3 linked regions of the Alligator mississippiensis genome follow. The protein of the gene in region 1 purifies or fractionates together with the protein of each later gene. This does not show direct contact. Links are inferred from orthologs where the notes say so. Each region holds a gene or a part of one and is shown on either strand. Other genes may lie near its edges. The genes, in order: BCORL1, YAF2 and SKP1.

Region 1 (9,766 bases):
TTATAGTTATACTGGTAAATACATTCCGGGTAGCAACAAGGCCTCTGAGTTTGGAAGCATTCTCTCCCCACTGCTATAGCACTAACAGGAACATGGGTACAGGCCAGTTGCCAGCATCTTACCACTCTCAGCTAAACCTTATTCCAGTCAACTATCAGGTATCAAGATACTAAAAACATTGACAGACTATATACACTAGTAGTCCCACCACTGCTAGCACCAATGGAGCTGCACCACTAGCACAAATTCCCCCCTGGAATTTTTCTAGCCCTGATTATCAGTGGCTAGCGATGCAGATGTCCTGTGTCGGGCCTAGTAGTGCACACAGTCCCCTGGAGCCTTATCTGCAATGTTGCAGCACACTCTAGGTTTTAAAAAAGGGTAAGCTTCACCAGTGTAAATAGTGGCCTGTCTGTACTAGGCATTGAACTGCTGCATGTATGCTGGTGGCTGTAACTGGGGCAAATTCCCAGCATTATGCAAAACTAAGGCCAATGGTGTTATCCGCAAGGCCTGCTTCAGACCATTCCTCTGCTAATATTATTTGGCAAAGCAGACAGAAAAATGCATATAGCTGGGCTCTAGGTTCTTTAAGAACACCATAAACCTTGTCTGTCTGCTCTCCCTCCTCTTCCTCCTGTGATGGGCTCTCAGCTTCTTTCTCTGAAGTGGAACACACTAGCAGCATGTCTTGACAAAAGGACACTGAGAATTCCCAACCTTGGAATTTTTCCCTGTGTGCCCTCCTCTGTAGCAACTACTACAGAGGATGAGCACATGGCTACTTTCAAAAGGTGCTGTACAAAACTTAGCCAGAGGCACTGTGAAACACCTAACATGGGCTGCACTTTGACCCTGGAATGCACTTACAGTAGATATCTTTGCAACACTCAGTCTCTGATCTGAACAAAATGTGACATACATTAAGAAAGAGTAGCAACATCTGAGACCCATACATATATATTTTTTTAATTCCATTTGTTCTGAGCACATCAACAACCACTTGGTAGTACACATGGCACAGAACTTCTGCTGGAGAATCTAACTGAAAGTGACAGAACAAAAGTGAAACTAACTTCACTGACTTCTCAGTGAAACTTACAGAAATGCCAAAAGGAAACAAACTGCATCACTTAATCATCACATTTATTGTTAGTGTTCCTTTCAATTTAGTAATCTTTGATGCTATTGGTAGCACAAGCAAATAATAAAATTTGTTTACAGCATGGCATCTTCGAGAGTCCATTTGAAATGTGGTAGCCCGCTCAATGATAAATCCAAAGAGCCTTGAGAAACGTCCCATATGCATTTCACACAAACCATTTTAACTAACCCATTTGCACTGGGAGAAGGACAATCCTACTGCAGGCATTATACATGGCCCATGAATCCAGCTAGGAAAATGGTTTACAGAAGTGAATGCAAACTGTGTTTTTCTCTTGTGATCACAATACTTCCCTTGAAGAATTTAGAACTGTAACGCTGACAAATGTTTTACCTGTCTAAAACCAAATGGAGTCTTGAATAAGCCAGATCATATCTAGTACTAACTTCAATAGGACCCGCTCATGCTAAATTTGGCTGTTAGACTGGATCACAATCTAGCCCTAACCATGGGCCTTCAACTTTACTAACTAATGTTCCAACCCAGACACCACAGCTACTGCTGTGCTGAGCTAACCTTTGCCTGTATGTATTCACTTGTACCAGGTCAGAGACACAGTAACACTATAAGTAGCAGCAAATGGCTAGTATAATGCACTGAAAAAGTCATCCCCACTTTAAGCCTGGAAAGTTTCCTAAAAATTTAGCATAGTTTAAAAAGCAAGTCCCCAATATTTGCTAATGCTGCATCTAGTCACTCAGTCTCTCATGGCAAAAAGTCCACCCCTACAGAAGCTTTCTATAACAAATTCATAAAGTGGACTGGAATAAAAGCTGGGAAACCTTTACAAAATTTGACATCCAGAAAAAAAATACAAAATTTATCATTTTATTTAAATGTTTCCTAACTATTAGGTATGACACTAAATCAAAACATGTACCACCCAACCCCATTTCAGCCCCAGTTTTTCAAATTCCTCCATTTAATTATTTGTTAAAGGTTTGGTCTATTAGATTCAGTTTTCTACTATCTCCTTGGTCTGCTATTTACAGAGTTAATTCACATGGTGACAAAAACACTGACTCTAGGTCTATACTAGTCCTCACATTGTTGATGCCCTTGTTAATCTGAACTGATGGAAGTAATGTGAGAAATGGTAAGAAAAAAGGCTAACATGCAAACAGCCCAAAGTCTCAAAGCTGCACAGGTAAATAAGCCCCTTCATCCACGCAGTCTCACCAACTTCATTGACACTGCACATGGGCAGCACTCTACCTTGCAAAAAATCAAGAGCTGGTGCTCCCTTGACCCAGTTCCATCCACCATAAAAACCAAGATATTTTAATCCATTTGCCTGGGATCAGCTGTAAACTTTCCAAGTTTAACTAAAGGAAGGCTTCACTTTCCTACCCAGTGAGGCTGTTCAAAGACTCCTCCCACTGAATCCAAATATGCCCTTCATCTTTAACACGTCAAGAACAAGTCTGCAGCAGTCCCCTACCCTCAAATACAACTGATCCTTAGAAAGCAAAATTGGTCAAGGGTGACAGCCACTCTCTGGCACCCACAAAATATTTTGTACGTGATTGCAGTAGTTGAGGCCTGTACCTGTCTCTGCAACAAGCTGCCTGCAAGATCATTTTGACCCAGAGGGAAGAGGTCTCTCTTGTGGAGTGCCAGCATGGTGCAGATCATAGGTGGCCAGACTAGGAGGGGACGGAAAGGCATGAGGTTCCATTCCCTATTCTGCAACTGACCTGCTACATGACCTTGGGCAAGTCACGTCCCTCTCGGCCTGTTTCCCCTTCACCTGTTATCTGCGTGGTCTAGTTATCCTGTCAGGCCGCTGGAGCAGGGGTGGCCTGTTAGGCTTAGTCTCTACTTAAAAAGTTCTGCTGGCACAAGCTGGTTGGTTAGGAGTGAAGGGGATGGGGCGAAATCACACCCTCAGCCACTACAGCCATGTGGGCAAGAGCTCCAGCATGGACACAGTTCCACTAGCAGAAAAGTCCTGTGCGGGGAAAGGGAACGTGACCCCTGGGCTCAAGATCTCCAGTGCAGGCAAGCCCTGACCCTAATTAGGCGTGGTGCCCAGCCCCATATGGAGGGAGGCTGCCACAACAAGGCTAGTAAGGAAGCACAAGATTCTGGCCCACAGCTGTGCTCTGAGAAGCTGGTCCCCAACCCCTCCTCAGAGCTTTGCCTGGATCTTCTTCAGCTGGGAGGTGCAGGCTCCGGGACCCAAGGGTGCTGTCCCCCACAGCAGCCGCCCCAGGTGAAAGGGAGGGGACAGGCAGCTCTCCCTGCTCCGCCGCCTGGCGTCCCCGCCCCAGCCCCAGCGGGCGTCGCGTCCAGCGCCAAACTCTGCCCGAGTGAGGGGCGCCTTGGCAACAAGCCAGGGAGCGGAGCACGGCGCCTCGCCAGCAGAACATGGAGCCGGCTTCCAGTCCCACCGCCCCCCCCGCGGGGCCCGGACAGGCCCGGCCCGCCCTGCCCGCTGCGACACGGGGCGCCGCGGCCGGACCTCGGCTCCACTGGCTTGGCTCGTCCCGCCCCGCCCCGCCCCGCCCCGCCCGCGCAGCCCGCGGAGAGGAGCGGAGCGGAGCGCAGCGCAGCGCAGCGCCAGGCGCCCCGCGCCTCCCCCCGCCGCCAGCAGCCGTCCTGGCCCGGCCCGGCCCGGCCCGGCCCGTCGCGTCGCGCGTGGCAGGTGCGGGGTGGCGCGCGGCTGGGCAGCCGCTGCCCGCGGAGCCGGCGCCCCTGGCAGGGACGTGCGGGGAGCGGCGGCGGCGGCGCCCGGCCGGGATCGCGACTGTGCCCCGGGCCGCAGCCCCGCGCTGTCACCGCCCGCGGTCCCGGCCCGGCCCCGCCCGTCCCGCTCCCGGACGCCGCTCCCCGCCCGCGGCTGCATCCCACCCGCCGGGCCCCGCGCCCTGCCCGCGGGGTCCCGGGCCGGTCTCCATGGAGACCCCGCCCGCTCCGTCCGGCGCCCCCGGCGGTGGGTGCGGGGCGGACGGGCCCGGGGTGCCCGGGCGGCGGGGCCGGGGTCCGGCGGCGGCGGCGGCCACGCACCTGCTCCCGGGCGGCGGCGGCGACAGGGGCGGCCGAGCCGGGCCGTGCCCGGGCGGCGGGCCGGGGCGGACACTGGGCGCCGCGAGCGAGGGTCGGCGGCGGCGGCGGCGGCGGAGACACTGGCAGCGGCAGCCGGAGTGTGAGGGCGAGAGCGAGCCGCCGCCGCGGGGGCTGCCGGGAAGGCGAGTCCGGCTGCCGCACCGCCCCCGCCCCACCGCCGCGCCGCCCGGCCCCGCGGACTACAGCTCCCGGCGTGCCCCGCGCCGCCCTGCCCGCACAGGGGGGGCCGTGCAGAGCCAGCCGAGTCCGGAGAGGGAACGGGAGGGAGGCAGGGAGGGGGCTCCGCACCCAACGCAGCGCGGCGCGGCGCAGCTCCGCGCGGCCCGGCCCGGCCTGGGGGCAGCCCCACGCCCGGGAGCGGCCGGCCCCATAGGGGACCGCCGCCGCGCGCGGGGAGGAAGCGGGATCGAGTCCCGAGCGCGGCGGGGACGGGCGCTGCACGCCCGGGGCGGCGGCGGCCGGACGGCTCCGCGCGGGGACAGGCGGCACCTTCGCGCCCGGGACGGCGAGATCCGCCGCACGCGCCACGGCCGGGCCGGGCCGAGGGACCCGCCCCGCCCCGCCCCGCCACGGGCTCCCTGCGCGGCGCGGCGCGGCGCGGCCCGGCGCTGCCTTGCCCGGCGGGGGCCCCGCGTCGCCGGGCGCCGCCGCGCCACGGGCCATGTCCCCGCCGCGAGCCGGGAGGGAAGCGGAGGCCGAGCGCGAGCCGGGACACGACGCGGCCAGCTGGGCAGGAGGCCCCGCCAGCCGGAGTGGAGCCGCCCGATCAGCCCCATCCTCGAGCCCGGTCCAAGCTGCGCTTGTCACTGGGGGAGGCGGCCCCGCCGGCCGGGCTCCCCGGACTGGTAGCGCCGCGGGGCGCCCGCCCGCCCGCGCGAGACTTAGCGCGGAGCCGCCCGCGCCATGCGGGACCGAGCGGCACCGCCTGCTGCGCTGCGCCCGGCCCCGTCGCCTGCCAGGCGGAGCAGAAGTTTCTCAGCGGCCGCCCCGCCCCGGGCACCGCGCTCGCAGGCCCCGGCCCCTGCGCCACCTCCTCTGCCCCTCCCGCCCCGGCCCCTCGCGGCCCGCACGCACCGCCCGAGCCGCGCGGGACCGCGCCCTGCCCTGCCCTGCCCCGCCCTGCCCCCCGCCCCCTGCAGCCCCAGCCGGGCCGAGCACGGCTCCGTGCGCTGCGCTTTGTCCCTCGTCCTGCCCAGAGCTGCTTGCGCCCCGCTGCCGCCCGCGTGTCTTCACCCGCCCCAGCTTCCTTGCGTGCTGTCCCCGGGGCCCCAGCGCTCCCTCGGCTCCGTCCCCTCTGCCTGTCCCGGAGCATCCTGCCCCACGCCCGCCCGCTGGCACGGCCTCCTTTTCCACCCCTGACCTGAACTGAAGCAAGTGGCTGCCTGTCAAGGCTCACCTATTCCCCATACAGTTACTGCAGAAGGTGCAAATGTACCCAGCCTTCTGCCTGTCTGCTCCACCACCCCTTCCCTGGCATGCCCTGCCCTCCCCTCTGCAGCCTGGGCTCTTCCTTTTATGGCCCCAGGGCCCTGCCCCTTCTGCTGCCCCTAGGTGGATCTCATCTCTGCTAAGGTGTGGGCCAAAAGCCATAAGTTCCTCCACTTCCGTCCCCCTGATCTCTGTCCCCATTCCTTCAGTCCCTGCCCCTGTGCCCCCCAATGCACCTCACACCAGAGATGTACCCCATTCTGCTCCAGTGTGCTGGCCTTTCCTCCTCTGAGCTGCAAGGTTTTCCCTGCCCCTCTGCTCTGAATGGCCTACTGTTCTCTCTAACATCCCTACCCGCAGAACTTTCTTTTTATCAGAGAGGGGCCCCGCCCTTGATTTTATAAGATGGACAGCGTCTGAGAGCAAGGGACTACTGCTGGTGGGTTCCAGGTTCTAGGGCTTCCTTTTACATACTGTGTTCAACTCCCCCCTTCCCCAATGTCATTCTGACTTGCCCTCCAGTTTGACAAATTTCTTCCACAATTCACCAATTTCTGCAGGGTTGGGGGGGTAAAGGCCCATTATATTATCATGTTTCTGCATTGAAATGGTTAATGAGGTATGAGGGAAAATGACTTCTATAGGCAATTTGTTGTTATACATTTTCTAGGTCTTGGCAATTTATAAATGTGGAATCTGGTTCCAAGATTTGAAAATCTTGGTTAGGGCTGGCTAGTCCTGCTTTTCTGTGAGGATAACTTTCCTCAGCTATGACCCTCATGACAGCTGGTAGGATCAAGAAATTGAGCACAGACAGAGCCTTCCCACAGAAATATTCCCCAACAAGAAAGGAGAAGACCAAGATCCACATCAGGGCTGTCCAGCTAGTGGCCTACAGGCTGCATCTGGCCCTCAACAGGTTAACATGTGGCCCTGGCTCTCACCAGTCGACACCACCTCCCACCACCCATTGCTCCTGCTGCACTGTGCATGTGGTCTGCATGTCACTGGGGTGGGGGTGGGGGTGGGGGGGCAGAGTGGGAAGAGGACATGTGTTAACACCCTGTGGGCTGGATGCAGCCCAAGGCCACCAGTTAGACAGCCCCCATGTAATCACAGGGTTCAGGAAGGTGGGTCATGAGGTGTGCAGCCTCCACAGTATGCAGTCCTCATGAGGTGCAGTCCAGGGGCCTGTGACAAGCAGTGTGCAGGCCCCAGCTGCTCAGAAATTAGACAACCTTTATCTACATGGCATTCAGAACCAACTGCAACCCTCTACTTTTTGGTTTAGCTTCCCTTCTAAGCTAATCTCATGCAGACAAAATTTCCATGTAAGAGGGGAACAAATCCTATGAACTAATTGAGCTACTTTTCCTGCAGGCTAGCATGGTGATTGCCATTTCTCTTTTCAAATCCTCTGGAGGTATTTGGATCTATAAAGGTGGGGTTCTGTAAGTACCTAAGCTAGATAGGATAGGAGTGCTGGCTGTAAGGACTGAAACTTTGAAATTGCAGGCAGCAATGAAAGCTACAACTGAGTAAAATGTAAAGGGAAGGCAATATTAGAGGAAGGCAAAAAGCAAGATTACTGTCAGCTAAGTGATAACATTCCTTTGCACTGCTTCAGTCTCAGACAAGAGACCTGAGTGTGAGCAAAGGCCCAATAATTATGCTATATTTCCAGTCTAAGCCCTTCGCTACCCTGTCCCAGCCCAGTGGGGGCAGAATGGGAGTCATATGTTGTTTATTTTAAAGATAAATTCAATTCTACTTTGTCCATTATTTTTACATTTCCAATGAACTGCAGATTTTTGCATTACCTATAGATTTCTGTAGTGGCTTCTCCAGAGATCACTAGAGAAAGTTGCTTTCGGCAGCATAGGCTTTTAGCTCTCAAAAGAGTGTGGGGTTTGCTGTTTCGGGCCAGTGAACACTGACTATGGGGAGAAAGGAAACATACTCTTTTCCTTTCACTTTGGGAAAGTAACTAGGAATTTGGGAAAGAATATATAATTTTTTTCTTTTCCATGTTAGCCCTTCCTTCCCCTTTGCCATTGCTTATCTTGGTCTTTGTGCTCCCTTCCCTAGTGGTTAACTTGGCTCTTGTTCCCCGCTGAGGTAATTCATATGGATGTAAATTCAACCAGTCATCTCTGCTCTTTGCAAAAGCACTGGAACAGTCTGAAGAAAAGACGGCCTTAACTTACCAGAGAGATACCAACAGTGCTATCCCAATGAGAAGGGAATGAGAATTGTGCTGCTTCAAAGGTAATAGTGAGGATGCCCACAGAATAGGATATGCTGCAGCTCTGGAATTTTTACTATAGTCTTGTGGATGGACTTTCTGAAAGCAATGAGTTGTGTTTTATTTTTCTAAGAATTCTGCTTTGGGACATACAATGCATGTTGAGAAGCCAGTGGAGGGGTGAATACTGACTTTCTTACAGTTGTTAGCTGCTGCGTCGTTTTACCAAAATCTACTGTTTCTAAATCAGCAAAGGCCGTTCATTTGTCCTCAAGGGTTTTAAAGGGGTTGGTTAAGAGCTATCCTGAATCACTGATGTTAATAGCAAATCATATTTTGAAAAATTGGGAAATTCCAGGAGAATGGAAAAAAATCAGGGTTGTGCCGACACTGAAAAGATAGCGGTAGATACCTACTGCTTATTCTGTGATGTCCTCAGCCCAGAGTTTGCCAGCGTATAGGACATCATCATTTTCAAACTTTCTAAAATCACAAAACCCTTTCATATCACTTCTGCTGTGGAACCCCTACCCCTGGCTCCGTGGGCTATATGAGTTGATTCAGAGCTAAGCAACCTGGCCCAGCAGTGGTGGCACACTATCTCCCGGCCCACTCTGCCATTACCCCCGATCTCTTTGCAGAATCCCTGATGACCTATTGTGGGGTTCCATGGAAACCAGGTTTCCATGGAACACAGTTTGAAAACCACTGATTTAAACCAACTCCTTGGGGAGTGGGGAGCTCCCCCTCCTGTAAAGGAGACCATGCTAGTGCTGCTGCCCAGGAATGGGGGACCTCTGTGATCTGAGGAACTGGTGTCTTACCCTTCAGTACAACTGCAAGGTCACAGCAAAGACTATCTTACTGTTGTTGGGGTCTATGCTATCAGATATGATTCACTCTGACCAGACCTCCACAGTCCTAAGCTGGTTCATCTTAGACAACCTGCTCCTGGCCTGGAGCTTCCTCCAGCTAACAAGTAAGGATGGTCACGTGCCTTCCTGTCCTTTGACTAGGAGAAATTATAGTGTATTTGTACTTTGACAAGATGGACCATGAGTGTCTCATAGAAATTGTTCAAAGGTCCAGCATCAGTCACCATTTTTAGAGTTCCTCTGCATGCTGTAAGCCTCTGCAGGGTTTGATAATGCTCAGCTGGACCCTGACAGAACCTGTTGGTGTGGATGGAAGCTTGCCAAGCTGTCATTCAGCATTCTCCTCTGCTTACCCTCTTTGACTGGTCCAAGAGCTCCAGCATGATGAAGGGGGATGAGTAGCAAGTGGGCTCCCTCCTACCTGTGCTCCATACCATCCATTGGGTTGTGCATATGCTGCCCTACGTGAACTTTTCTGCCGCCAATCCCTCCCTGTGGGCCACCTGAAATGTGCTGGAGGCCAAGGTGCCAGGCTGGTTTCAGAAGTGGGCAGGGCTGCTGCAGCGCCTTTCAGGGGATTGTGCTGGTTATCAACCAATTGGTCCTGTCTGTGATCTAGTACTAGCTCAGCCCTTGTGCCCATCCAGAGGAAAGACTCAAAGGAAGGTTCTGGAGCAATTCTGGCAGGGGCTGCGCTAGGTCTCTGCACTCTGAGAGAAGGTGGGGATGGCCAAGTTTGCATGTTGCAGCCAGGATCATATGGTCTGTCTCCAGGCTCTGCAGATACTCTTCTATAACACTTATAGTCCAGCATGAAACTTCCTGCCACACATCTTCATCCACTGGCTCTGAGGTAAGATGTGACTGACAGCTACTCTGAATAGCTGATCTACCAGGACTTCTTTTGGGCCTGGAAGTTCATCACAGCAGATACTACAGAGGACCTTCCCCCAGAGCCCCTGTTTTACAGTCCCACCTTGAATA
Region 2 (9,728 bases), on another chromosome or scaffold:
CACCCCTGTAACCAGCTAGTCAACAACAACAGCTAGTTGGAGGTACACATTGCTGTTGGATAAAGGAGCCTTGGCTTCCTGGTGGAATCTGCCACTGGCCTGACAGGATCCCCCAAGCAGAGAATACATTAGACAGCATCCGTGTTTGTCATTGATGTAGAAGCCATGGAAGGATGTGGTCCTAAATTTGAATAGTTCAGTGTATGGATAATGGGGGAGAGAACCTACCTCTGATATTGCTGGTTCAAATCCAGCCTAGAGTAATCACTTTCCCAGTTTTTAATGCACTTTATATCCTCTTAGGAAAGGTGCTATACAAGTGTGAAGTGGTATCATTATTTATGAATGATTCTTCAATGACCTATATGAAAGGAACTGGCAGTTTCTAATGGATAGATAGCCACATCACAAAACCCACTGTTACAGTTGCCACTTTTGTTGGGAGTCTCAGGAAGGAGGCTATGAATAGAATATGTATACAGGCTATCTTCTTATTTCTAGATGATCCTTTCTACCCAGGACTGTCTTTGAGGCCTACTAGTTGCACAGAGCGAGGTTGTTCTCTAACTGCTTACTGGAAATAAATGTAGGATTTTAGAGTCCAGAGCTGTCAACCCAACACCTTTTAAATTCACTAAAGAATGAAAAAAATAAAGTTTAACCAAACCCAATACATTAGAAACAAAAAGTGACTGAAGTTGTTCTTATTTGACAACCATTCAGTGTCAAATGTGAAATGGTGGTGCCAGTCCTGTAGGCAACAGATGACTAAGTCATAGAAATCAACACTAGACAAAAATCTCTCTTTTGAAGATTTATTTGTATAGCAAAGATGCCATGGAATAATATTATAACTTAGGAGTCCTCTAATTTATGTACTTTTGTCTTGCCAATGTGCCTTGAACCAAACAGTTACAATCACATTATAAAGCCAGGTTTCAGCTGTGTAAAGACTTGTTCACCATTATTTAATAAAGTTATACTGGTTTTATACCAGTATAATGTGGTGGTCAATCAGGCCCCAGGACTGTATCTTAATTCCATAAAACAATGTAACATTCTTCAGGCCTGTTCATGCAAGATCCAACCGTTTTACAATTTGGTTCTGGCTTTTGGGTGATACAATATGGTCTCTTGATATATGGTAGTAAATATTTCAGTTGCCCAGGGGGGCGGGTGTGGAGGGAGGTAAGGGCAGCATGGGAGGCACCAAAATACAAGTTTGCCTAGGGTGCCATTTTCCCTAAGGCCAAGTTTGGTTAGGAATGATAGTTGTGGGGTTGGCAACTGTGGCTGACCATCACAGAAGTTCTTTCCAGGAAACAGTCCCTCAGAGGAAAGAGAAACATTGCCACTGCTAGGTTACAACATATCCCAGGGTTTTGTAATTGGTGGTGAAACATTTTTTTTTGCTGCTTTTAATTTCTATTGTAAAATTTGTAGCGATAGAGAAAAGGTCAAGAAAAAGAGGTTATTTCAAAATCATTGCTCTCTCAGTTGGAAGAAAGAATATGTTCCTATGTATAGTGGAGCAAGGGCAAGAGGGAAAAGGGCACAAGGAGTCAGGTTTTCCCATTGTTTCTAATCTTACGATTTCTTCACAGCATCCAGGTATCCAGTTGAGCACTGGACCCCCCACTACGTATCCAGCTCAGCAGTGGAGCCCCTAAGCTGTATCCCTCATGCAGACTAGGCTCTGTGTGACAGTATAAGGGAAAGAACAAAAGCAAAAGAACTGGGAAGGGTAATAGGGTAATACGGTGAAGGGTATGGAGGGCAGGAAGAGTGATGGTGTTGGTGGACTGTAATGGAGGAGGGCTGGAAGAAGTCAGGACAAAAAAAAACACCAAAAAAACCCCACATACCAAATAGAGCAGGATATTCAGACTTAAAATTTTTTAAAAGGAATGAACTATTATCACTGCTGTACAGAACTGTGAATGCTGGCTTGGGGGTGGGAAGGAAGCCAGGGCAAGAGACTCTGGATGGTTTTGGAAGTTTAAAGTTAATTTGAATTAACTGTGTGAAGACAATAACTTCTGTTCCCACAGTTTTTAGGAGTCCCATTCAGGGATGAGGATCCCATGGCAATATTTTTTTTTTTTTATTTGTACTTAAGAATCCATAACAACAAAAATATATCTGTGCGTGTGACCCACCCAGCCCTAGATCTCACCCAGTTGCTGCTTCCCTCATCACTCTGGCTGCAAGTCTCCAGGCTCCCACATCCTTCCTCTGCCCTTGCTGCAGGGAATGGGGACCTGAGGGTGAGCTAGCTTACAATTTCAGATCTGCCTCTCCCTCTTTCAGATATGCCTCTCTCACCTATAGCCCACAATTTCAGATCTAGCCTGAGGAGTTAAGGTGCAGGGAGGGAAGGGAGAAGGTACACTTGCACCAAGACCTTGCAGCTATGGCAAGGAGCAGTCATGGGCAGGTCTTAGCGCTGGCCTACCGTGGACCTGATGTAACACAGGGCTTTCTCGGGGCTGGTCTGTGATTGGCCCACCCACCTGTTTCTGGGCCAACCGCCTGCCTCCTCATCTGCCACACCTTGATGATACATAATTATGGTGTTAATTAGGCGGAAGGCTGCCTATTCTTGCCCTGATGCCAGGGGGCGTTATCTGCAGCTCTGTTCCTCCCCTACACCACAGCCCAAGCCTCACAGATGGCATCCAGGTTAATATTACTCTTGGCCTCAGACCAGAACAAACCAAGTCCAAAGTTGGGCTTTACACACATGCACATTCATGTCACCTCCCCTCTCACAGGAGGCCTCTTCCACTCCGCCCCTCTCTCACCCAGGCCTCTGGCATACTGCTCATTACCAGGCCACACTCCATTGCCCTGCTCCTCCTCGAGCAACTCCTCTGGGCTATCAGGCTTTGCTACTCGCACACTGGCCTCACCACGCAGCCCCTTCAGTTCCCATGAGTTCCCCTACTTTGCATGGTCCGGCATTATGCCAAACCCTAGGCTAACTGCACCCCATACTAGGCAACTCTATACACTCACACACATACTGGGCTCCCAGCCCTCTGGTTTCCCCCTCACTGGGGCTCCACACCCACCCCCTCACTGGGGCCACAGGGCTTCCCTCCCCAGTGGAGATTTAAGGTGGCTGCAGCCATGCCTAGCCCTGTCTGGGTCTTACACCATCCTTGGGCTCAGGTGGCCATAGCCATGCCTGGCCCCCTTGTACCCATAGTATTATGGGGGCTAGGAGTTAAGGCACCCCAACCCACCTTTCACCGGGGTGGTAACTGGCCTGGTATTTCCTGGGGGTTCCTGCACCACCAGGCCACCCACTCCCAGCAGGGTGCAGTTTTAGGTCATGCCCAGGACCAGGAACCTCCAAATCATCCCTTTAAGCTCCTGCCTGTACCACCAGGATATTACCTACAGCCTTGCAGCCAGGCAATGTTTCTATCTAGCCTGCCAGTACCGAACTGCTCTGTTTATATAGGCAGCCAGAGATCTAAAATGGCCGCCACAATCAAGCACCTGCTGACTGCTTGTCTCAGCCCTTAACGTGGCAGACACCAACAGTGCCCTGCCACACCTGAGCTGAGGCATTCTGGCTTACTGCTGATATTAATATATGCAGAGATGATCAGAGTGGGGTGTGGGGCCCAAGGCAAATCAGCCTGTTCAGGGCCCTACCCCAGGACGCAAGGAAGCCAGCAGCAGATTAGGCAGTGTGGGGACTGCCAAATGGCCAGACATGAAGCTGGTGGCAGCATGGAGTCGCCGCGGCCGCTCCGCCTGGCTCTGTGGGCCCCCCCCAGAGCATGGGGCCCAGGGTAGTTGCCCCAATTTGTGTTGCCTAGGGATTGTCCTGAATATATGAATGCTTTTCACCCTAATGCAGTTCCATGGCTAGCTTCCTAATGGACCTTCACGGGAGTGGTACCATTTTTATCATGGAATGGGCTAGCTGTTACAAATATCATTCTAGAATAATGTGAAAACTTGATTAAAGAAGGAAGGGTTTCCACACCGATTTGAAATGATCAGATTCTGAATTAGTTTAAATGTCATCTGGATTGTTATTCCATTTGTCATCAACAGAGAATGCTTCATTCTCTGTGGCTTTGTGTTCTTTGTCCTGAGCTTTGACCAACATTGTTCCAGAGGAATGCAGCTATCTTGGAAGTTCCTAGCCCTAGATGGTAATATAGTCTTGAATTTACTCAGGGCCAGATCAATTAATTCCTCAGAAGAGAATAACTGGGCATGTCTACATGTTCATTAATGCACCGTAATCACAGCACATTAAGTTTACTACCTGTAATGATAGGTATTAAATGTGCTGTAATTGATGCTACCGCGCATTACAGCAAACGCTTTTTTGTGATGTTAAAGTGCATTACACTAAGTATATTGGGCATTAGCGCAGTTTTGCCAGCCACGCTAATGCGCACTAGACTTAGTCTAAAACATATTAAGATCTTGTGTAGATGCGCCCACTAAGGCCTTGAAGTAGCAGTAGTAGCATACTGAGCCAGCCCTTTGCCCACCCCACAGAGAAGGTGAGAAGCCTCATTCTGCACTAGCTATGAAACCTCCACATTGCTTTCAGATTTATATTCAGGGAAATACCCTTATCCAGTCCCATGGATACCCTTATCCAGCTGACCAACCCATGGATTTCTGAGGCCTGGTCTTTGCATGAGAAGGAGAAGTAAAGTTTGAAGAGGTGGAAGGATTGGATCTTTTGGACTGAATATTGGCTCTCTGAGGCTTGGCCTGCCATCAGCCTTTATACAGGACACAACATGACAGCACAGACTGTCTTAAATAGTAAACACAAATGGCTGTCACAGGTATGCAAGGTGGACAGTACAGCAATGTGTTTACAGCCTGCATGAAACGCACGTGCCATCACTGCAGAGCAGGTCTGTTCTCTCACCTACTGGAACCCCAGAGGAGCAGGGCTGGAACGGACCCCCAGAGGTCACCTCGTCCAATGGTTTTCAACCTTTTTCCATTTGCAGATCCCTAAAAAATGTTGAGTGGAGCCCTTGTGACTGCTGGTAGCCATGTTTATGGGCCCCTCAGACATTGAAAACCACTGGTCCAGCCACTCCCCTGCCTAAGGCAGGCCCACCCCTACCCAAACCGCCCCACCCCAACTAGGGTTCCCAACTCTGTTTGCATCTATTCCAGGAGGTGCCTGGAACACCCACATGCCCATGACAGACAATGTGAACTTGTGTGTATCAGTTACACATTACCGTGCATCATTGGCGATGTGTAGGGGGAGGCACCAGTGGCCTGCGCTGTGCGTAGAGTTGAGGTCAGGGAGGCAAATGCACATTCCTATTACATTTAAAAAACCCACTGGGGCCTACTGTATAAGTCAGATTCAACATTTAATATTTAGCTTAAGGAATGCCCTATCATTTATCTCCCAGGTGGCTCTCCTGGAGATCTGTATCTAATCCGGGAGACTCTAGGGCAATCCTGCAGGGTTGCCAACCCTAATCCCAGAACAATTTAGCAAAACAAGCCCTGCCACAAGACAGGACACCCCAGCGCAGCCCGGGACAGCAGGGCCACGGCGCGGGCAAGGGCTAACGTGCCCTCCAGAAACCCCAGGAAGAGGCCCCACAGCCCGAGCAGGGGGGAATCCTCCCTGCCCTCCCCAGGTCTCAGCAGGGGAGCGCCCGCTCCGGGGTCCCGCGCCCGGGCGCAGGGCGGCCGTGCAGGCCTCCCCCTGGGCGGGCCGGCGGCGCTGACTGCCCCTGCGTGCGCTGCTGCTCCGCCTCCTCCGGCGCTGCTGGGCTGCGGGGGGCGCTGGTTGGCGGCGGGCGGCACGTGAGGCGGGAGGGGGCAGCGGCGGCGGCAGGAGTTCCCCGACAGCTGGAGGTGGCGGCGGCTCCTCCTCCCCGGGGCCCGGTGCAGGCAGAGCCCCCTCCTTCCCTCCCTCCCTCCCTCCCTCCCCCGCCCGCCCGCCCGCCCGCCCGCGCTCGCTCGCTCGCTCGCTCGCTCCTCCTCAGTGACACATACACAAAGGGCCGCGCGGCGCGGGGCCGGGCCGGGCTGCGGACGCGTCTGGAGCCGGCATGGGAGACAAGAAGAGCCCGACCAGGTAGGGGCGGGGGCCGCGCGGGCGGGAGGCCGGGGCCGGGGCCGGGGCCGGGGCCGGGGCCAGGGCGGGCGGGCGCGGGGCGGCTGGGCGCCGCGCCTGTCTCCCTCCCGCTGTGGTGTGCGTTGCAGGCCGAAGCGGCAGCCGAAACCCTCTTCGGACGAGGGCTACTGGGACTGCAGCGTCTGCACCTTCCGCAACAGCGCCGAGGCCTTCAAGTGCATGATGTGCGATGTGAGGAAGGGCACCTCCACCCGGTGAGTACCGCCCGCCCCGGCCCCGGCCCGCGGGACCCCGGAGCGCCGAGCTGTGCCGCCGCGCACAACAAAAGCCGGCGGCGGCCGCGGGGGCGCTGGGAGGAGGGGGGACACAGCGGCCTGGCGCGCAGGGCGAGGCGGATCCGGGCCCCGGGGCTGCTCCCGTTTCCCCTCGGATGCAGCCGCCCCTGCCCTCTCCAGCCCCATCCCCCCACCTTGTCCTGCTCATCTGTCTCCCTTTAAAGCAGTGATTCTCACCCAGATGCGTCCTTCCCCCCCAGACGCACCCCAGCGCATTGGATTCTTACAAGGGTGCTGCAGAGGGTGCCCATGGGTGCTCCCACCATCACATGCACCCCAGTGGGTCAGATTCTTGCAAGGGTACTGCGGAGGGTACCCATGGGAGCTTTCCCCTCTATTGCCCTCCCCCCGTGCGTCAGATTCTTCTAAGGGTGCTGCGGACAGTACCTGTGGGTGCTTTGTCCCCCAACAGGCACCCCAGTGGGTCAGAGTCTTGTCAGGCTGCCTCAGAGGGTGCCTGTGGGTGCTTCGCCCCCAGTGTGTCATGTTCTTGCGAGGGTGCTGCGGAGGGTGCCCGTGGGTGCTTCCCCCACCACACACATCCTGGTGCATCAGATCCTTCCAAGGGTGCTGCAGAGGGTGCATGTGGGTGTCCCCCCAACACATGCACCCTAGTGGGTCAGATTCTTGCAAGGGTACAGCAGAGGGTGCCCGTGGGTGCTTCGCCTCTAGTGCATCGCATTCTTGCGAGGGTGCTGCGGAGGGTGCCCGTGGGTGCTTCCCCCCACCACACGCATCCCAGTGCATCAGATCCTTCGAAAGGGGCTGTGGACGGTGCCCATGAGTGCTTCCCCCCACCACACGTGTATCCCAGTGCATTAGACTCTTCCAAGGGTGCCACAAGGTTTCCAAAAAGAAGTTGGCGGCATGGTTGGCAGTCTGGCCTGTTGGGGTCTTTCTGAGCATGCAGCAGCGGAAGAATTGCCCTCCTGTCTTTCTGTAGGCAACAGAGGAATGAAAAGTAAGATGCGGCTATTTCCTGAGGGGCGCCCTGAGCCTCCTGATGGGTGCCTTGAGTCTTAATAAGGTGGAAAGCTACTGCTTTTAAAGGCCTGCCCATTCTCTTGTCCATTTTGTTCCACCTTGTCCTGCAGATTTAGTTTCTGTAGAGGTGGGGAATTTATTCTTTCTGGAAAGGAGCCTAAATGGGCTGAATTATAGGATGCAGAAGCCCCCCACCTCCCTGCCTGGACTAATCAGTGACTTATTAGAAGACCCTTTTTCTGTCAAAATGGTGCAGTGATTTCACTGGTTTTGACCTATGTCTCTGTAGGTTAATATTAGTAGGGTGGAACCTGGATAGGAGGATGGGGAATTCTGCAGAATCAACAAGAATACAATTGTGCAGTCTTTTGTGTGTATAAGTTTGTATGACTATGCTTATTGTTTCATCCTATTAACAAAAACGAGTCTAAAAATAATAGAAACCACAGTCCTATTGAGTGAAGTAAACTTTATTTCAGCCATGGAAATACTGAATACAACTCCATCAACAAACGTATGATAAAACAGTGTTTGAACTACAGAATTGCAAAAGTGAATAGATTAACTTTATATGAAAGACTCATCTGCATTTGCAATGTGCATGTATTAGATTTGTGAAAAACGTAATTCACTTTCTAAAGTATTTTTAATAACTTAAGGTTAGTTTTAAAAAGGTAGTTTGTAGAAGGAATTTTTATGAGAAAATCAGTCAGGTATGGTTGGTAAGCAAAAATACATCTCATGAATATGGTGTTATTCAGTGACAAAAAGAAGATTGGCTTTATTCTTATATCAGTTTTCACAGCTATACCTTTTTTTTTTTTTTTTACAGACCAGTAACATTCAGCAGAAAATTATAATGCTGAAAGAGTGAGTGCAAAATTCCCCAAACAAGTTTAGTACAAATGAAGATGACAGCCTCTCATTGCCTTTATTAAGGAGTCAAAGCCAGTTAAAATAGTGATTTATTGTTCTGGAAAATCACTTGAACAAAAGTATTAATTTTTAAAGGTGGCATTGGGTAAAAGAGAGCTCTGGCAAACAAGTGATATTATACAGTAAAAAAAATGAAGATTTAATTTTGTTTTTCATTATTTAGTGAAGTTTTGCTAGGCACAGTTTAAGTAGATTTATTGATTTCCATTTCCCCCACTTAAAAAAAACAAAGTTGTTTGAAATCTTTTTTCCCTATAAGACTGAAATGGATCCCATTTCTACGTTGTCATTATGCCAAGTCTTGGATTTACTCATACCTGTTAGATACTTGGGTACATGATTCACATGCATGCAGATTGTAAGCTTTGATTCTGAGTTGGTTTTTTGTTGGTAAACCCTTGTTCCCATAGAGAGCTGTTTTTTAATCTGGGGCTTCACGCTGGCCTAGAGATGCATCTACACAGTTCTGTTTAGAATCCAAAACAAAGTCACATCTGAACATTTGGGCCATATAATACATAAAACAAACTAACATGTGTTTTGTATTTGATGAAAGATTAGTCATTTTCAAAATAATTTTGTCATTGGGTTGAGATGAGGCAGTAGTGAATTCTCTAGTCTTTTGTTTCAGATGACATGTTTTCATAAATTAAACTATGGCCTTAGCATAGTTCTTAACGGGGATTGGTTCACATCTCAAAATCTCTGTCCAATTTTTCACCAAGATGACAGCTTCTTATAATATATTGTAAGTTATTGGTGAAATTCCTTGGCATTTTAAAGAAATCTGTTACCCTGCGCTTTGTCTTTTGGTACTTCTTGTATTCGGGAGTGCTAAGTGTCATAACATTCATTCAAAGTTGTGGGGGGAAAATGCAACCAATCACAATCAGCAAATATTACTGCTTTTGAAAGCCAGTGGATAACAGTTGAATATTAGACTGTATTTCTGTCTGTTGTTTTGTTGATAAGGACATACAATTAATTTTATATTTAACGTTTTGTGTCTTGACATATTTCCAGTGTTGAATAACTTAATTTTTTTATTTCCACATTTTTAGGCCAATGAAAAGGCATTGACCCTTTCAAAGACTTGAAAAAATTAAGATTAGTAAAAAAAAAAAAAAAAAATTGTATTATAATATATTTTTGAATTATACTGAATATTTGAAGCAGAGCATTTAAAGTAGGCTGTGTCATGAAGTTAAATTAATTTTGTCTGTGGCAGTATCATCTCGCATGCCTAAACTGGGCTGCACTTTATATGGGAGACCTCCAAGAGAACCACTGGATGCTAGAGGAAGTAGTATAGTGATTTCCTAGATGGCACTGTTTTCTTTGGGTTAGTACTAAATCAATACCTTAGCATGGTGCCA
Region 3 (9,548 bases), on another chromosome or scaffold:
AAAAGGTCACCAAGCATGTTCATAGTTCATCCATCACTCCTGATAAAGACTGGCAGATTCATTTAGAGAGGCAATGGACCCTTGGTTGAATTTCATATAGTGGCATATTTGTCTACAATGTAATACAAAAAGCTTTTTTTTTTTTTTTTTTAGCCTAGAACTCCACCAGGGCTACTATAAGAAGTGTAGTGGCTAACTAAAAGCATCAGCTGCCTACATTCAGTTCATATAAAAAGATTTTCTAAAGAGCAGGGTATACCTTTGCTGTGAGGGAATGCAGCAGGTATTGCATGGTGGGACTCCATTAAATGTCATCTACGCAGTCTCTTCCTTTACATTTCATGGATTATTAGAAACCTGTTTCATTGACCAGGCAGGGAAAGAGGATAGGAATAGGCTTGGGGAGGGAGCAGAGGTGATTTGTGGCACACCTGCTAAAAAGGTTGGTCCCTATGGCAGTCTAGTCTGTTAACATTAGAGACATCCCACAAAGTTTTAATTTAAGTACCTCCACCTTTGTACAACAGCCCTGTTACCTTTATAGGCCAAAAAGTTATTTCTGTAGAGGTCACTGTGAGTACAGGGATTTAATTAAGAGTTTATTTTCAACGGCTGTTTCAGAATAATTTGGTATATCTTCTAATGCATCAAAGAGGCAAAATATGTTATGTTGCAGGAAAACGCTTTTATATTTAGTGATGGTTGCATGGCAAGGGACAGACCCTTGCTCCATCTTCTTCTATATTGGTGTCTTAACCATTAAACTATCCTTTCCATTGAGAATGTAAGAATTGGCCTCACTTGATAACAGGAGAGAGACTTGACATTTGTTCTTGTCACGATTTTGTATCGGAATGGACTGCTATTCTGTTTGTCCCAGTGTCCTATCTCCTATAATGGCTACAGCAAAAAATCTGTGAAAGGTGAGAGATTCCATTAATTCTCCAAATGACTGATTCCAAAGCCTAAACTGTTTGCAAGTGGAGGAACTGCAGCACACAGGCTCGTGCCTGACACTTCCCCTTTGGTCGGTTAGGTCTGTGCATGTCAGAGTTAAGCCTGGCACCACCTGGTGGATAAACTAAGAGCATATTTTCATCAGCAGTTTTGTATCTGTAGCTGTTGCTTTTCCAACTTTCCCATTTATAGGTGACATGCGTGGTTTTATATCCATGTTTGTGTCTGGTAGGTAAAGGTGGCCTACAAACTTTAAGGGTTTTAAGATTAATTTGTCCCCTCCCCTTGTAATGGGAGCTTTAATTCCCACCCCTCCCTCCCCCCAATTTTACCTAAACTTCAAAAGCAGCCTCTTTCGAACCTTGCAGAACTTTTGTACCATTTAAAGCAGCTCTGTCTCTTAGTACCAGACAGACACCTGAGGTGTACATATCTCAGAGGTAATTTTTAACTCCCATGCCTAAAGTTTGGGTGTCCATGGTGTGTGTTTGTTTTATTCCATCTGATAATACTTCTCTAGGTACTCATGTAGTCCTCATACCTACAATATCTGGACTTAAATCTCCTGATTTTTTCTGTGGGAAGCAAGTTATGTTAGTATTATTATTGCATTGTTTACTCAACTTTGCAGACCATGCAATAATTTAGTAACTGGTGAATGTATGTACCCTGACTTTAGGACAGAACTGCTGAAGTGCCAAGGTAATTAGGGTGTCTTAAATATCTACAAAAGGATGGGTCAGTCAGTCTGCATTACAAATACATTTTGAGTTACAGCTTCATTTTGAATTTTCTTTTTAAAAGTAAAATATTTGACCTCTCCAAAGCATTTCTCTAGCACTTCTAATCCTTGCAGCATCCTGGGAGGTAGGTAAGGATTGTATTCTCCATTCTACAAACAGGGAAAACGAGACTGAATGGGCAAGTGACTCACCCAAGGCTCTGCATGAAGTTTGTGGCAGAGCAGAGGTTACAATTGCAAAGTTCCTGGTTTCCAGAAGTGGCTTCAACCTTTACATTGTTGTCTCTTACCATAATCTTACTGTTCTCTGATTTTATAGTTTGTACTTTGTATGGCTTCATTAGAATTTTGTGGAGTTGTGGCTGCATAGTGGGATCTATCGATCTGGAATATCTTCTGCTAGGGCGAGAAAAAAGTATTTAACTATTGACAGCTGGCTCACATTGTCATGGCACAAGGAATAGAATGCTTTCTATTTGAGTCATGAACAACTGCAAGACAATTTTTTAAAGTAATGGAAACTGGCAGTGCTGTAATCACGGCAGCACATTTTTTATTTTCTCCTGAACTATCAACAGTCTTTTTGCATAAATAATATATAACAAGAAATGCAATAAGGGTATATGGTAGCTGCACTATGGGGTTGAAGGGTTACTTGAAATCAGAATAAATCGTAGAAGTCTACCTGTGAGTGAAGCAATAACCTTTTGCCAAATGGCTCAGAAGAGTAAGTCCAAGTGCATTTGACTGGTTCAGTGGCTGTGAAAATTAATGTACACATACCTGCTTTCCTACCTGTTCATATCCCTAAAAAAACTGTTTTTTTTTAATTTCTATTACATGTGGGAAAGGTAGGATTTACTAAAATAATCTGTTAATCCTAAATAGGTGCTTCTGAATTAACACCTTCTTTTCCTGACTTTCCACAAATGGTATTGAAGGCTGAGCATGATGTCTAGAAGTCTGACCCCTTGAACTGTGGGCTCAGTCCTAGCAGTTGTCTCTGACTTTCATGCAATCAGGAAGGGCAAACTGAGTTCCATGCTGTGTACTGCATATGAAACTTTAAAGCTTATAATTCTGTATAGGATTCAAGGATCCGGCATTTATAATATATGATTTATAACCATAACTAGTCCTTTCAGGTGCTTATATGGATGGATTCCAAATAACTTCAGAAGAAAGTTGGTTTCATTATCCCTATCTCACAGGTGGGGAAATCAAGGCAGACAGTGAGGAAGTGATTAATTTAAGAGGCCAGCAGAAGAGCCAGAAATAGAATAGAAATACATCAGTTCTTCAGTGGGCTTCTGCCCTCCACCCAATGCTGTTGTCTGTTTATATGCTGAAAAATACTAGGATTATTTGCCCTGGAAGTGACATAATTTAACTCATACTTATCTCAGTAGCTAAAACATTTCATCCATTTCTTTTCATTCATTCTTCTTTTTTGCTTCACTTTTGGTTAATAGTCTATCAGTAGTAGAAGGCCCTGATTTTAAGATTTTTTTTTTTTTTAGATTTGTTTGTGGTAGTGCTTAGGACCTCTCTAACATACTTGCTCAGGTTTCTGCCTATTATCTCTGATAACTTTTATCCTTTTCTCAGCTGCCTTAGTGAAGGATGAGAACTTTTTTGGTATCTATAATATCCCAGAAATTCTCAGTTACTGAGTTCCAACCAACCATCTTTCCCACACACGCTTTAATGTCAGAGGGAGTACCAGGATATTACACAGTGTGCCAGAACAGGAAGACTTAAACTGAGATGTCTTTTTTTATATCATGTGTATAATTTTAGGTCTTTGCCATCTGTTTTACCATGCTGTTTACTTTTTGATGATCCCAGCTACCAGGCTGCCATATTGTCTGTATTGTCCACTTTGCTCTCAGCTTTTTCTGATGTCTCTATATCCCCAAGACCAAACGCAGTGGTAGGGCATACTTCTGAAAAAGCAGGGGTGAATTCCAGGTGGCCTGACTTTGCCTCTGTAGGCACCTCATTCTAGGACAGCAAGGTCTCAAGAAGAGGAAACTCTCTAATGCTAATCAGGTCAGTGGCTTAGGTGCTCCTTTCTTTTTTATTTCACTCCTGCTCATCTTTCTTGGGTCCCTGCTCAGGATTCTCAGGATCCTTGTTGAAGGCATCTAATTCTCTCTGCATTGTATACAGGGTCTGACTAAGGATTCCCCAAGGTGTTAGGCATTATGGGTGCATCCAGACAAGCAGAAATGTGTGCTTCCCTGGGGACACCTTGTGCCACTGCTACTTGTCCCTGGGGAACACCCGTGCCATGTGCACTCTGGCACGTGGCAGGTTACCCTGGGTGGGGTAGGGGAAGCTGAGGCCAGCAACTGTGCTGGCTCTGTATGTGCCAGCTTTACCTGGCCCATATGTGCTGGTCCCATATGTGCCAGTTTTACCTGGGGCCCTGGGGACCTCCAGCACCTGCAGCCATGGTGCTTCTGTGGCAGGGAGCTTGGTCGACAGCTGGAGCATGGGTCCGGCCAGCCAAGCTCCAGTTTTGGATGGCGTGCACTGCCACCACATGCACCATCCCTCTTTTTTTTGGTGGGGGCTTTTTTCACCCCAGGATCTCCCAGGGTCAAAAAACACCTGTGCCACAAAGTAGTAGTTCAAGGAACGCCTGCTTGTGTAGTGTGGCTCCACAGACAGGTCCATGCTCAGCTGGATGTGCCCTGACACCTAAATACCCTGAGGTTTTAGCTCTAAGAGCTTGATCCTATTTAAGAGCTCCATTTTTGCCATCCCTCATCTGTTTACACGAAGCTTTGCTAATGTTAGGGTGGGCAGGTTGCATCCACCTGCATGGAGTTCCTTGCGGGCTCATTGCTTAAATGTATTGTGGTCTCACTCACAGACCCACCATCTAGCTCTGTGCCACACAAACCTGCATCAGTTGAAAATGTCCTCCAACTAGTATTGCTTATGCATATCCACTTTACAGCTGCCAATTGTATGAAGCAGCAGCTTTAAATTATCCTTGGCATTTCTAAGACCATGTATTAGACAGTAGAGACCTCATTCGCTGGTCTGCTGGGTAGTTGCCAAAGATTTCACTGCGTTTGTCTGAAATGCTAGTTAAAGAAACTGAAATGATATTAAATGAATATATTGCCTTTTAACTTTCCTTCACCATAATTTTTCTTGCATCTTGAGTTTTAGTGCTTTGGCTCGCAACCGGGGCACCTACCTGGGCCTTGAAAATAATTCAGGGTTTCTCTGTCAAGCACTGAAATACAGAACCGTGCCAAACAGTGCTTGGCAATTTATTTGCAAGGGAGGGCACTAGGCCAATCTTTCCTCAGCAATCATGCACTGCAGTAGAGGTGGCATCTCCCTTTCTAACGTAATTTACAGCATTAACACACTCAATTCTAGCTGTCGGTGCAGCTTTTAGATTTAACCGTTGCTTGGCCAATTGATCCTTGCCCTTCAACAGTCGTTCCCCCCCAGCCCCCGCAGTAGTCTTCTTCTTTTTGAGCCACCTTCCTCCCAATGTAACACAGGGACATTTCACTCCTTCGGAGGAAACCCTAGAGTTGAAGGCATAGCCGATCAAGTTTGCACTCTGCTTTTCCCTGCAGGAGTCAGACATGCAATGGGATGATGACAGCAAATAGCATCTGTTTATACTGCCCTGGTCCTTGTGGAAGCTGGGCTCTCTCATGGTTTGCACGAGCTGCTCCCGGGGTTGAGGTAGAGGGTCGAGCTTATGCGATGAAAACCCACCCGGGTGAGGACGCCCGCCCTCCATCCCCTTTCTCCATGCTGAGGCGCCCGCTGTTACCAAGCGCGTCTCCGCTGCGGACAGCCTCTGCCTGAAGGACCCCGCTGCTCCTGCACTCCCCCGCCCCCAATGTTTACCTTTCGAAAACCCTCCCCCTCACCCCCTATTTCCTCTCAGAAGTGCAGCTTGCCGCACTTCCCTGCCCCGAGCGCTCAGGCGATCTGCGCGGGCAGCCCCGGAGCTCTGTGAGGCAGCGCTCGTTGGGGTCCTTCCTTCCCGCCCCGCCCCCATAAAAGCCGCCGCTGCAGCCGCAGTCGGGCCTGAGGAGACGCCGCCACCCGGTTGTAGCCGCACGGTGAGGCCCGGCCCGGCCCGGGGAGGGGACGGGGGAGGCCTGGTCTGCTTCCCCGCCGCTGCGGAGCTAGCCCGGGGGGGTTGGGCCTGGTCCCCGCCCGCAGCTCTGCTTAGTCACCCCGGTCCGCGGGCTGCTCCTCTCGCCCGGCCCCGGCGGCCGCGGAAGCGCAGCCCTGGTCTGAAGGGACGGACAGGCTCAGCCCCCGGGTCATTCAAGGGGGGGACCCTGGAGCCCTGTCGAGAGGCCGCGGGGACCCCCCCCCCCCCCCCCGGCTCCTCGTGGCCCGTCGGAGCCGGCCGAGTCGTGGGCTTGAGCGCGAGGGGGAGGGGAGGGGAGCGGGTCCGCGGGCAGGAGCGTCAATCCCGGGCAGGGAAAACCTCGGTCGACGCGCTCCGGCTCCTAACGAGGACTAGTGCATTTGGGGTGAAAACTGCTACGAGCATCTCACTCTCTTTCCCGAGCAAACGCAGGGCTCGCGGCGCCGGTAGGTGGGAAACGCGGGGATGATATAGCCGTGGTGCGTTGGGGATGGGCTGCGGTGTTTTTAAGCCCCACGTCTGTCCGTCTGTCTATCTTTGAAGCAAAACAAAACCTCTATTAGATAATCGAGGTAAAACAACTGGCTTAAATTTCCTTGATCTGGAGTTTAAGTGACCGCCTGCGCAATACAAACAGAGCCTAAACCTATCGCAGTCCAAAAACAAACCAACGGAAAAACCCTCATAAAATTGGGGATGAGCCTCGATTGTAAGTTGTCTTGCCTGTTCGAAGTCTTATTTTACCTAGCGGTTGGGAAGGTAGACTTGTACTTGAGCAAACTCAGCTTCTCACTGCAGGGTTGGACCTCTTGGTGGTAAGAAGTTAACATTTTTAAATTCAATATTTGCCTCTTTTTTTTTCCTGGGGATGACACAGCAATGTGTTGCTACAACATGGGGCCCAACTTTAATGAGTTTGTTAGTCTCTTCTAAGTTTATCTCTCTAAGATGTGGTAATACTTGCATTTGGAGGTAGAGTGTTTTATCAACATGAAGCAGCTCTGCCAAGTAAACTTGAAGAGGTTACTTTCTTCCTTTCAAACATGAAGATCTATGGCTACCGTCTGCTGCTGAGCAACCTGCATTGGCTGGGCTCCATTGGCCTGCGTTTGTTGCAGTGCTGTGATGAGCTACAGCAAGCGCTCGCTGTCAAGCAGATGGAAGTGAGCTGAAAGTCATATAGCTGGTCAGCTGCTCTGACTGCAGTAATTTTGAATCCATGAGGTCCTAGGCCCCTCAAGAGTTTGTGTATTTTTGTTTTGTTTGTTTTATTTTGTGTATGTATTTCAAGCAGGCATCAGTTGAGTAATATCTATGAGTGATCTCTGTTTACCCTAAAAGCCTTTTCCCAAACAATTCTTAAATGGGTTTGCAGACTATTTGAGGATGCGTAGCTTAAGGGTTGCTTTTCAGTTGCCTGCTCAAGGATCTCTAACCTATTTTGACAGTCTTCTGCAAAACAAAACATATAAAGGCCAAAAATGGCTTCATACTGATTTATTTTACTTTATCTTTTTTGCAAGGAAACATATTGGATGAATGCATTACTAAAACAAATCTAACTTGTATAAAAGCCAATTATTTTAGACTAATCCCATTGTGTGCACCCTAATGCGAAGGGCTAAAGAACCGGCAAACAAGATGTATACAACCTTACAACAAACATCTTAGTTGTAACTAATTAAAGCTGATTCTTGCCAAAATAAGCAGTTTGATTTCAAGAACGTTATTTGAAGCAATTCTAGACTTCATGGGCTAGAAGGGACTCTTACGCTAAACTAATCGCATGCATGGTACTCAGAGCCTTATCCAGTAACATCTGCATCATGCTTGTAACTTTTTTTTTTATAGGAGCTTAACCAGTAAGTTATTTAAACATTACTGGTTGCAGCATGGATTTGAGAATGTACTGTCTTTTAAATTTTGTTATAATAGACTCCTTTTACAGGAGCCTTTTCTTACAGGTAAATGCATTAAGAAGCAATTGTGTTGTCAGGTGCTGAAAGTAGGGGTGCACTGATAGAGGTTTTTGGGGCTCATACAGATAGCTAATTTTTGAGGAGGCATATTAGCTGATATGGATCTGATTTCTGATACAGCTGCATCCAGCTGGTAAGACTTATGGTGGAAGGGAAGGAGTGGGGGGCAGACCCAGGTGCCCCAGCCCCACTCCCTCCCTTATCATGGGGCAAGGGCTGCCCAGCTGGGGCAGAACAGAGCTGTGGTTTGTCTGGGGAGTGCAGGGGTCTGTCTGGTGCTCTCCTGGGAGCTCCAGCTGCTTGTCTGGCAGGGCATAGGGGATGGGGGAGTAGGTGTGTGCCTCTGGATCTGCGTGGGGTGAGCGGGGCTGGGGCTGAGCTTGGGGTAGGTGGCTCTGAGAGTGGGGCTATGGGGGGACTACAGTGAATTTCAGGGTGGCTGCAGCCCCCCCATAGCCTCCACTTCCAGTGTTGCCACTGCCACTTGCCCCGATCCAGGGGCACACGCCTCTTCCTCCCCACCCCCCCAAGCGAGTGGCACGGGTGGGAGCCACCCCCCCCCCCCCCCCCCCCCGGATGAGCTGTGGCCGGGCACTGCTTGCCTCAGCCCCACTCTCTCCTTCCCTCTCTGCAGGGGGGCCTTGATCTGTGCACCCCCCTCCCCCCCCCCCCCCCGGTCCCTTTCACCACAACAGACTTACTAGCTGGACACTGCTTTTCAAGCTGCGGGGCTATCCTCGCTGCCTACGTGCTGTGTTGTGACTGCACATGCATGGGCCATTTATCAGCCATATCAGGCCAATTTCTGATGCTGCCAATCTTCTTTATATTGGTGCTTATCTGATATTGGACCGATGGATCAGTGCACTTCTAGCTGAAAGTTCTCTTGAGTATACCATGGGCAAGCTTTCACAAAAATACAATGCCAAGCATACTTCACTTCTAAGGGGGCTTGGCCAAGAAACCAGGACTTCAAGAGTGCTTCTAGATCTAATTTAATCTGAAGAGCCCATGACTTGCATGGAGGAGGTGCCTTAATTTTAAGGCCGCTTTTAATCATGTTGTTAATGTTGGGTTTTCTGGAAGGTTTGCTGTATCACTTAAAACCCTAATTTGGAACTAGTGGCCACATCCAAATGAGTGTGGCTGTACACTATGTGGCACAGCAGACGCATCTGCGGCTCTACCCGTCATACATTCAGGTGTTTTCTGCGTGGCAAGGTAGCAGTGTGAGAGGATTTTTGACCCTGGGAGATCTGGTTTTGGGCATACTGCCCAAAACTGGAGACTGGCTGGCTGGAGCCATGCTCGGGCTGCTGACCAGACTCCTGAGTGGTAGGATCTCTGCTGCTGGAGCCCCCAGGACCCCAGGTAAGGCTGCTGGGGCCATCCCAGTGTTGGCTTCAGCCTCCCCTACCAAACCTGGGGTAACTTGTGGCGTGCCAGAGGGTGTGTGACACTGGTGTTCCCTGGGGACAACAAACCAGTGGCACAAGATGTCTGCATTCTTGTGGATGTGGCCAGTGAGGGATACTGTACCACTAACATGGATCACAGTAATGATGTAAGCTCTTATTTTTAGAAGAAAGTGTTATGTAGCTAAAAAAAATTAGGTAATTCCTACCTGCTTAGAGAAATACAAGAATAGCCTTTTTCTTACTGTATATTGTTAGTTACTTTGCTCTAAGAAAAGCAAATTAGATTTGTTGATCCCAATGGTAAAGTA

What was found.
Region 2: the proteins of BCORL1 (region 1) and YAF2 purify together in Homo sapiens (affinity purification with mass spectrometry; 5 studies listed by BioGRID and IntAct, counting the BioPlex papers as one, with this or other methods). This does not show direct contact. The link is inferred for Alligator mississippiensis from reciprocal best matches to the Homo sapiens genes BCORL1 and YAF2.
Region 3: the proteins of BCORL1 (region 1) and SKP1 purify together in Homo sapiens (affinity purification with mass spectrometry; 3 studies listed by BioGRID and IntAct, with this or other methods). This does not show direct contact. The link is inferred for Alligator mississippiensis from reciprocal best matches to the Homo sapiens genes BCORL1 and SKP1.

The regions. Positions count from the first base shown.
Region 1 is NC_081831.1:40,004,983-40,014,748, reverse strand, and holds the start of BCORL1 (BCL-6 corepressor-like protein 1), read right to left. Parts: upstream 4,258-9,766; 5' UTR 4,175-4,257; intron 3,614-4,174; exon of another isoform or gene 2,714-3,613; intron 1-2,713. UniProt on the Homo sapiens protein: Transcriptional corepressor. May specifically inhibit gene expression when recruited to promoter regions by sequence-specific DNA-binding proteins such as BCL6.
Region 2 is NC_081827.1:58,021,739-58,031,466, reverse strand, and holds the start of YAF2 (YY1-associated factor 2), read left to right. Parts: upstream 1-5,844; 5' UTR 5,845-6,071; coding exon 6,072-6,097; intron 6,098-6,225; coding exon 6,226-6,351; intron 6,352-9,728. UniProt on the Homo sapiens protein: Binds to MYC and inhibits MYC-mediated transactivation. Also binds to MYCN and enhances MYCN-dependent transcriptional activation. Increases calpain 2-mediated proteolysis of YY1 in vitro.
Region 3 is NC_081832.1:70,029,177-70,038,724, reverse strand, and holds the start of SKP1 (S-phase kinase-associated protein 1), read left to right. Parts: upstream 1-5,697; 5' UTR 5,698-5,805; intron 5,806-9,548. UniProt on the Homo sapiens protein: Essential component of the SCF (SKP1-CUL1-F-box protein) ubiquitin ligase complex, which mediates the ubiquitination of proteins involved in cell cycle progression, signal transduction and transcription.